2 linked regions of the Drosophila melanogaster genome follow. The protein of the gene in region 1 interacts with the protein of each later gene in a pairwise test. Each region holds a gene or a part of one and is shown on either strand. Other genes may lie near its edges. The genes, in order: CG14071 and SmD2.

Evidence for each region.
Region 2: the proteins of CG14071 (region 1) and SmD2 interact in a two-hybrid assay, tested with the Drosophila melanogaster proteins (one large-scale study listed by BioGRID).

What each region holds. Positions count from the first base shown.
Region 1 is NT_033779.5:10,887,067-10,891,124, reverse strand, and holds CG14071 (uncharacterized protein), read left to right. Parts: upstream 1-2,197; 5' UTR 2,198-2,346; coding exon 2,347-2,757; 3' UTR 2,758-2,849; exon of another isoform or gene 2,850-2,856; intron 2,857-2,907; 3' UTR 2,908-3,480; downstream 3,481-4,058.
Region 2 is NT_033777.3:6,344,434-6,347,784, reverse strand, and holds SmD2 (small ribonucleoprotein particle protein SmD2), read left to right. Parts: upstream 1-1,873; 5' UTR 1,874-2,012; coding exon 2,013-2,014; intron 2,015-2,148; coding exon 2,149-2,506; 3' UTR 2,507-2,774; downstream 2,775-3,351. Other genes in the region: CG18048 (uncharacterized protein), read right to left, coding at 267-1,592; CG17919 (uncharacterized protein), read right to left, coding at 2,775-3,254.

The sequences.
Region 1 (4,058 bases):
TACTACGTTTTTATTAAGTCTGTCTTATGTTACGAGCTCCCATTTATTTTCTTAACAAAAAGTTTCCGCGTGAGCTCTTCAGCTTACTCGACGACTTCATCTCCTGGTTTCCGCTGCTGAGTATTAAGTATACGCCCCGAGCAACAATGATGATGCGCAGGTTTTTTGTATTTTAACTTTCAGCGAGGCAGCTGGGCGGCAAGTAAATATAACCTGTCCGGAGTCCGGACTCCACCCTTCCCCCTACTTACTATCATCCTTTACCGCAGGTAAACCACAAGAATACCAACCACCCAACCTCCCACCCACCAGACCCCCTAACACGTGGTCGGTCTCCTTGTGAGCGCACGTGTGTACATTTTTAATTATGCGAGAGCACACAGAGCGACGAGATGAAAACAGAGCAGCGTGAATGTCGGGCAACTAACTTATTAAAAAGCACTCGACCGGCAACGTATATATTTGCCAAATAAAGCGGAAATTAGGGCAAACTAGGTGCACGCATTCTAGCCCCCCCCCCCCCCATTTCCTTCATTTCCCAAGGACGAATATCCAAGCCTATCCTTCCGTTCGCAATTTTCAACTGACCACCTTGTGGCGCAAGCAAGAAGTGGAAGTTACTCAAGCTAAATTTTCCCGCAAGTGATTTGCATAACTGTAGGCAGATGCCAATGGCTGTTGCTCATCACATTGTTTGGCATTTTAAGGGGCGAGTTATAGAGAAATGTTCGGAGAAAACCCCATGAAATCCTTCAGTAAGCCGGCTTACTGACTGACTGAAGATAACCTAAAAGTGTGCAAAGCCTATTAAGCTGGCAAAGCCAAGAGCAAACGAATAAATGAAAAAATCCAAGTGGATAGAATTGTTTGTGAACTACTCGTAAAAATGTAACTTCCATAACTGAGTTGGAAATTGCTTAATTTGACGGGGCTGGTCCGAAAATCGAGTCTACCGAATATCATATACCGTGCAGGAGTTTAAAACGGAAAAGTCGAAGATGATCAGATATCAGATAGTAAAAATGGTAGCCATTTTTTAAATCATTGTGATATTGTTAACAATACTTTTAAGCAAAAAAACAAAGATATATTTATTAATATATATTTAATATGTATTTTCATTATTATAATTGGTACCAGTTTCGAATGCAAATTTGCATATTAATTATTAGTGTAGATGTAATTATAATTCATTGGTCTTGAATAAATACATGTGTAATATTTGTTTGCTAAATAAATGAAACAACATACCCCTCATACTACCTCACAATCAGAGCACAAAACTACGCACCATAAATCTTACGGCCAGTGGAAAGGGACTGGGAATTTGGGCAGGGCAAAAATTATTACATGCCTCATTTGGCAGCGCCTTGAAGAGTCTGCTTATTATATTTTGATTATTTTCGGCACGCGTGTTTCGCAGGACCTCAAAGCCAGGATCTCCGCGTCGAGAGCTGTAAACAAATTCGTGAAATACGCAGACTGGTCAAGGGGCGGATGTCGATTTGCAAGGACGAGGAGGATAAACAGGACAGCTGGGTTTTTTTTTTTTTTGTTTTTTGTTTCGGTTGCATAATTTTTCATTTTATTTTTGGACTCGTTTGGCCTGCTTTTGTCCATAATGAGATATCTCTATCCTCCTTTGTTTCTTTTCATCATTTTGTCCATTGTGTTTCGGTGCTTGTTGTTTTTGCATTTCGCGAAATGCCGCTGGGAAATTCTTGTAACCAACAAAAAAAAAGGAGCAAAAATCCACTGGGCTCAAATGGCAATGATGGCGTCGAGGTGGTCTTATTAATTAGGACACGCGCCCTGAGTTGTATATATTCCCAAATATTCTCCACTTCAAATATACACGTGAACCTCAAAAGGGACCGCTGTTATTGTTATTTAAATGCATGGCAAGATTCTCTTTCAGAAAGCTTCCCTTGATTGCCAAATTTTGATTAGCATATAAATGCAGAAGGGACAAAAAGAAACTATATCTTTGTGCCGTTAACTCGTGGAAAATTTTAAACTTCAACACATTCTTGTCCACTAAAAAGAGATAGTACGAAAAATAACTATTTGAATGATAGTTTACAATGCTTCTGCTATCATCTACTCGTAATGCATTTCGGCTTAAACAATTTTTGAATGTAATGATCTATTTCCTTTTTTAACTACAGTCTTTTTGTTTTTTCTCGAGTATTCAGTGGACGCCAGCAACACATATTTACCAATCATAAGTAGGTAGCTAGAAACTGTTCGGATTTAAGGAACAAATTTATTGCTAAGTTAAATCAAATACTGCTCCACGTAGAAAACCACAAACTCCTTTCAACGGCGTAACTACACTGTGCAGCAATGTCCAGATCGGCAAAGGGCTTTGGTCGTTTAATCAATCCGGGCGTGGTACTCCATCCGGAACTGCATCAAAAGATGGCCGACTTTGAGGCCATGACCATCGAGCGATCTGATTTGGATCACGAATTGAGCCGATTGCGCAAGCAGCAGGACGATACCGAGGATAATTTGGCAGAGGCGCTGGCCGAGGACGAGTTCCAGTGCAATTTGAGTGGCCAGCCATTCGTTGCTCCCAACGAGGACGAGCTGCAGGAAATTCTGAGGAATCACCTCGGTAGCATTATCAACAAGCTGGCTGCCACGTACGAGCGCCTTATTTACCTGGATGCGGACATCAGGAAGCTGAAGGGAGTCATTGAAAAGGCCATCACAGTGGCTAATGAGGAATCGGCAGCAGCCGCCTCAATGTGAAGATATGTATTTAACCATTACATACGTTGTACTTCTACATATGTGTATCTTGAAAATTTCAGTTCGATTTAATGTGCAAGTAAAGTTTGCAAGTATGTTAAATGATTCGAAATTGCAAGGGCTATGTAAACATGTATTTGTATTCTCCAGCTTTGCCATATGTACCCGTGTGCCGTCGATAATCAGTAAAATATGTGTTACTTTTGGATAATGAAGTCCACGTTCGATGCAACGCGAAATCCATTCACACATTCCGCTGGACATCTTAAATCATTTTGGGTGAAATTAAAGCCGCAACAATCTCATTTCCGGTAATTCTTTATGCACTCGCGCACAGACAATCCAATGCGAGCCAGAAGACACTGCAAATTTAATTGCGTATACGCAATGTTGCCACTGCCGTCGCGGAAACAGCATCCGCTGCGGCAGCAGCTACACTCTGCTGACTCTATCGTTAAGTGCATAAATTCAATAATGCCGAGCGTCTGGCGGTGTCAACGCGCTGCAAATATATAGACTCGCCGGATCGATAAAGCTGAAGCTTGAAAATTTATGGAATTTCCTGTGCATTGAAAATGGTCGCCATTTACTGAATATATTTAAGTAAACTACAGCTCAAAACAAAAATGCATATGTTATATATTGACTTTACATAAAACCCCAAAATGTTTAGAAACATAAGAAATTAATTCTACTTGGATAAAGTTAAACTTAAACAATTCTATACCAAACTGTAACTTTAATTGCCAAGGGGACCACAAAATGGTCTGCGCTTACATGTATAAGGATGCAATTGCATATTTGTTGTTACTTTGCTTTGGTTAAACATTAATAGTCGGAGAATTGAGAAGGAAGTCGAGGTATATTTGAAGAAAGCCAGACTTATGGGCCCTGTCCTGTACTCTAATTAATTAAATTGAAGCGTTCGACGACGAGGTAACAATTTCAATTTTATTCCCGTGCCAGCCAGACTGGTCAAACAAGCCAAATGCAAATTTCCCAACCAGACATGGGTCTTAACAAGAACATTTGCATGAAGTCAATCATCTCGACCATTCTGGCCAGTGAACCGAAAATAAGACACTTTGGGTCTGTACCGCTGTGACTCTGATTGCCTTTCATCCCAGTCAATTGGAAAATTCGCACTAACAAAGCATTTGTGAAGGTTCGAAAAATGTCGGATGTATTTCATATTTTTACTTAATTTTGATTCCTGTTTGTTAAAAGCACATTTTAAAACTCCCTCGTTGCGCTAATCGCTTTCCAGCCAATCTGGAAATGTTGAGCTCATCAATTACAAG
Region 2 (3,351 bases), on another chromosome or scaffold:
AAAAAACATTAATTCTACAACTAAAAAAAATTACCTATGCGGACCGCTTCAATAAAAATGTCTTCCTAGCTAATAAATATTTTAATAAAGCGAAATAAAAATATGACATTGCATTTTCCTAGTTAAATATTTTTCGTCACAAAAGATGACATCAGAACATTTTTATGGCGATGGTGCGATCGTCACTAGTTTTTAGTAAATAATGAAAAATTTAAATCCAGGAGCAGGATATGAATTAAGGAAGGAGAAAAGTCATTTTACTTAAGTCAACAGCATTTATTTTGGTCCAGCTTAGGGCTGGTCGGTCTGGCCAGCAGAACCACGTTTTCCAAAGTCACATCCCTGGGAACATAGAACTTAAGTTCTGCTTGATATCCGTGGGATCGTAGATGCTCCAGTCGTCCATAATCCAGAACCCGCTTGCACTGTTGGCCAATTTGTTCGCGCTCCTGGCGAGTTAGACGCTGCGTGTTCGTCTCGGTGAGCTGAAAGTCAGCCGATTCCATGGCCTTACGCCGCTCTCGGCTTAAGCCCGTGCCACAAACTGCCCAACTGACCATTTTGGTTAGGATAACGAACTCCCGTGGTCCAATTCCAGCTTCCTGAAGAAACTTGCGTCCCACGTAGGAGCGCCAGGAGCAGCGATGATGACAACACAGGGCGATGAGAACGTAGTCCGAGCTGGCATTTCCATCACCGAGTATACATCTCAGGGTCAAGTCTGTAGCTGCTCCACAGAGGTGCTTCGAAAAAGCCACCGTTCGTTGGGTTTTCTTTAGCTCCGGCAGAGCAGAAAGCTTAAGATCAGCGATATCAGCACGGATACGTTGCACCACCTCCCTGTTGGCCAACTTGTTGTCCTTCTTGTGCCGCAGGGACATTCGATCGATGAGGACCACCTGTGAGTGACTCAACTTCTGTTCCTGCAATACGGTGGCCAAAAAGTAGGCCAATTGTCCCTTTCCGGCTCCGAATTCTATATAGCTCGTGTGATCCATCAACTGGTGATCGTGTTCCAGGATGCCCAGCAAGCTAGTGGTCTGGGTGAGCTGGCGTAGCGTTTCCTGGCCGTAGTCCTTGCGACTAAGTTCCTCCTTTAGGGATTCGTGCTCCAGCTGCAGTTCCTGTATGCTGGAATTGATGTGCTTGTCATACAGATTCTTAACTTTGTCGATCAGACTGTAGAACTCTTCATCCGCCAGTTCGTGCAGTTTTATTTGATTGAATTTGTTCAAATCTTCGTCTGTTTCCTTAAGATTGTCTCCAGAATTCACTCCTTTTACAATGTAGGGCAGTGAACTTTCCTGATCCCTGGCATTGCAAATGGTCAAGTGTTTGGCTAGTTTTCTTTTAAACACGGTATGTTTGTGATCAAGCGGGCAGGGAATACGTTCCTGGAAGGAATCTTCTCTAGCTTTTTCATCGCAAGTTGCAGTGGTGGCTGCCGATGAGGCATGGGCTCCACAAAACTCACTGCCCTTGTTTGCAGTCATCTTGCAGCGGCGCTTTTTGCGTAACACCCAGTAGGAGCAAGTGGTGGTTACCGGCTTCTCCGCCTTGACAGTGGTCATCGTCTCTTTCACAGGTTCCATTCGTTACTTTTATTTTCAAAATAAATTCCTCCCAATTCGGAACTCGTGCCAGGCAGTGTGACCAAGGCTGGCACACTAGATAACACTATTACCAACTTTTCACAAAAATGTTTTAACTATGGTCTTAAATATGTTTACACTTCTTACATTGAATATTTTAATAAGTTTTTTAATAAAAAACTCAAATTGAGCTTGATTTTTCAAAATAATAGTTTATTTAATTTACGCGAATGCCAAACGCCGATAGTTAGCTTTGAAATTCAGGGCTGGTCGAGTGCAAACGTCCTCAGAGCTGGTAACACTGCAAAAAAAACGAAGCCGCGCTGAATACTTTTGCCAACAATAAACGCAGAAAACCAACTGAGAAGCGAAACAAGAAGACTATCAACATCATTTAACAAGCCATAGTTATAATCCGCTATGTAAGTATCCCGGGGCAGATGGGACAAACCATCGGAAATGGCGTAACTGGCAGCGGCATGTGCGCCGGCATTTTGCATTGTTAGCACCACGCTCGAGTTGTGGGTGAAATACTAATGTACTGTGTTCTCTGCAGGGCTCTTGTGAAACCGAAATCGGAGCTGACCCCGGAGGAGCTGGCGCGGCAGGAGGAGGAGGAGTTTAACACCGGCCCGCTGTCCGTGCTCACGCAGTCCGTGAAGAACAACACCCAGGTGCTCATCAACTGCCGCAACAACAAGAAGCTGCTGGGCAGGGTAAAGGCCTTCGATCGGCACTGCAACATGGTACTGGAAAACGTGAAGGAGATGTGGACGGAGCTGCCGCGGACCGGTAAGGGCAAGAAGAAGGTGAAGCCCGTGAACAAGGATCGGTTCATATCGAAGATGTTCCTGCGAGGCGATTCTGTCATCCTGGTCCTAAGGAATCCCCTGGCCACGGCGGCCGGCAAGTAGTCTACCATAGCGATAGCGTACAGCAACCAATATCCATCAACTTCAGTTAATAAATCCGTAAATCAACCAAATAAGTTCTGTGGACCAAAATGTGCCATTAATTAAAAGTGTGAGCTATAATTTACGACGGAAAATATCCCATCCCAGTAACATATCCCATTATAAATTTGTATAACGAAAGTACAATCCGTAATCGCAATTTCTTATATTTTGATTAACATCTTTTAATCGATTTTTCCTAAAGTATCTGTTTAAGATTAAAACGGAATCAATTCTCCGAAAGTTGCTTGTGCAGTTTTGGAACATAGTCGTCGTACTGGGCTTGGTAGAAAGTTCCAGCAATGGGATTGCCCAACTCGTGATTGATGGCAAACTTGGCGGCACTGAATTTGGGGCGATCCTTGCGGGATCTCTTGCTCACGCGCTCCTCGTCGAACTCAAGTTTGCCGGACTGCTTGTACAGCAGGAAGACGTAGCGATGCAGACCCGTGCCCTGGGGCGGGCCGGAGCCAATGTACTCGGCGATGGGCTCACCACTTGCCAAGTCGTTGCCGGCGATGTTGGCCAGAATCCAGTGCTTGAACTCGCGGAACTTGGGCTCCGCTCGGCTGGGGGCATCGGGATCCGTCATAATGAGCGTGTAGAACTCCCCGGGCTGCGCGTCCCACTCCACGACTGGCTGATCCTTAACCTGGGTGGGCGTTAGCTCCACTCCATCCTTGGCCACCAGGTTGTTGCTGTACGTGACCTTGAATAGGAACGATTTCACAGTTATTTGCTTGATTTTTACATTGTTGCGATCTATCAGCTACTTTACTTTAAGTTAGCTACCTTCTGACCTTTGA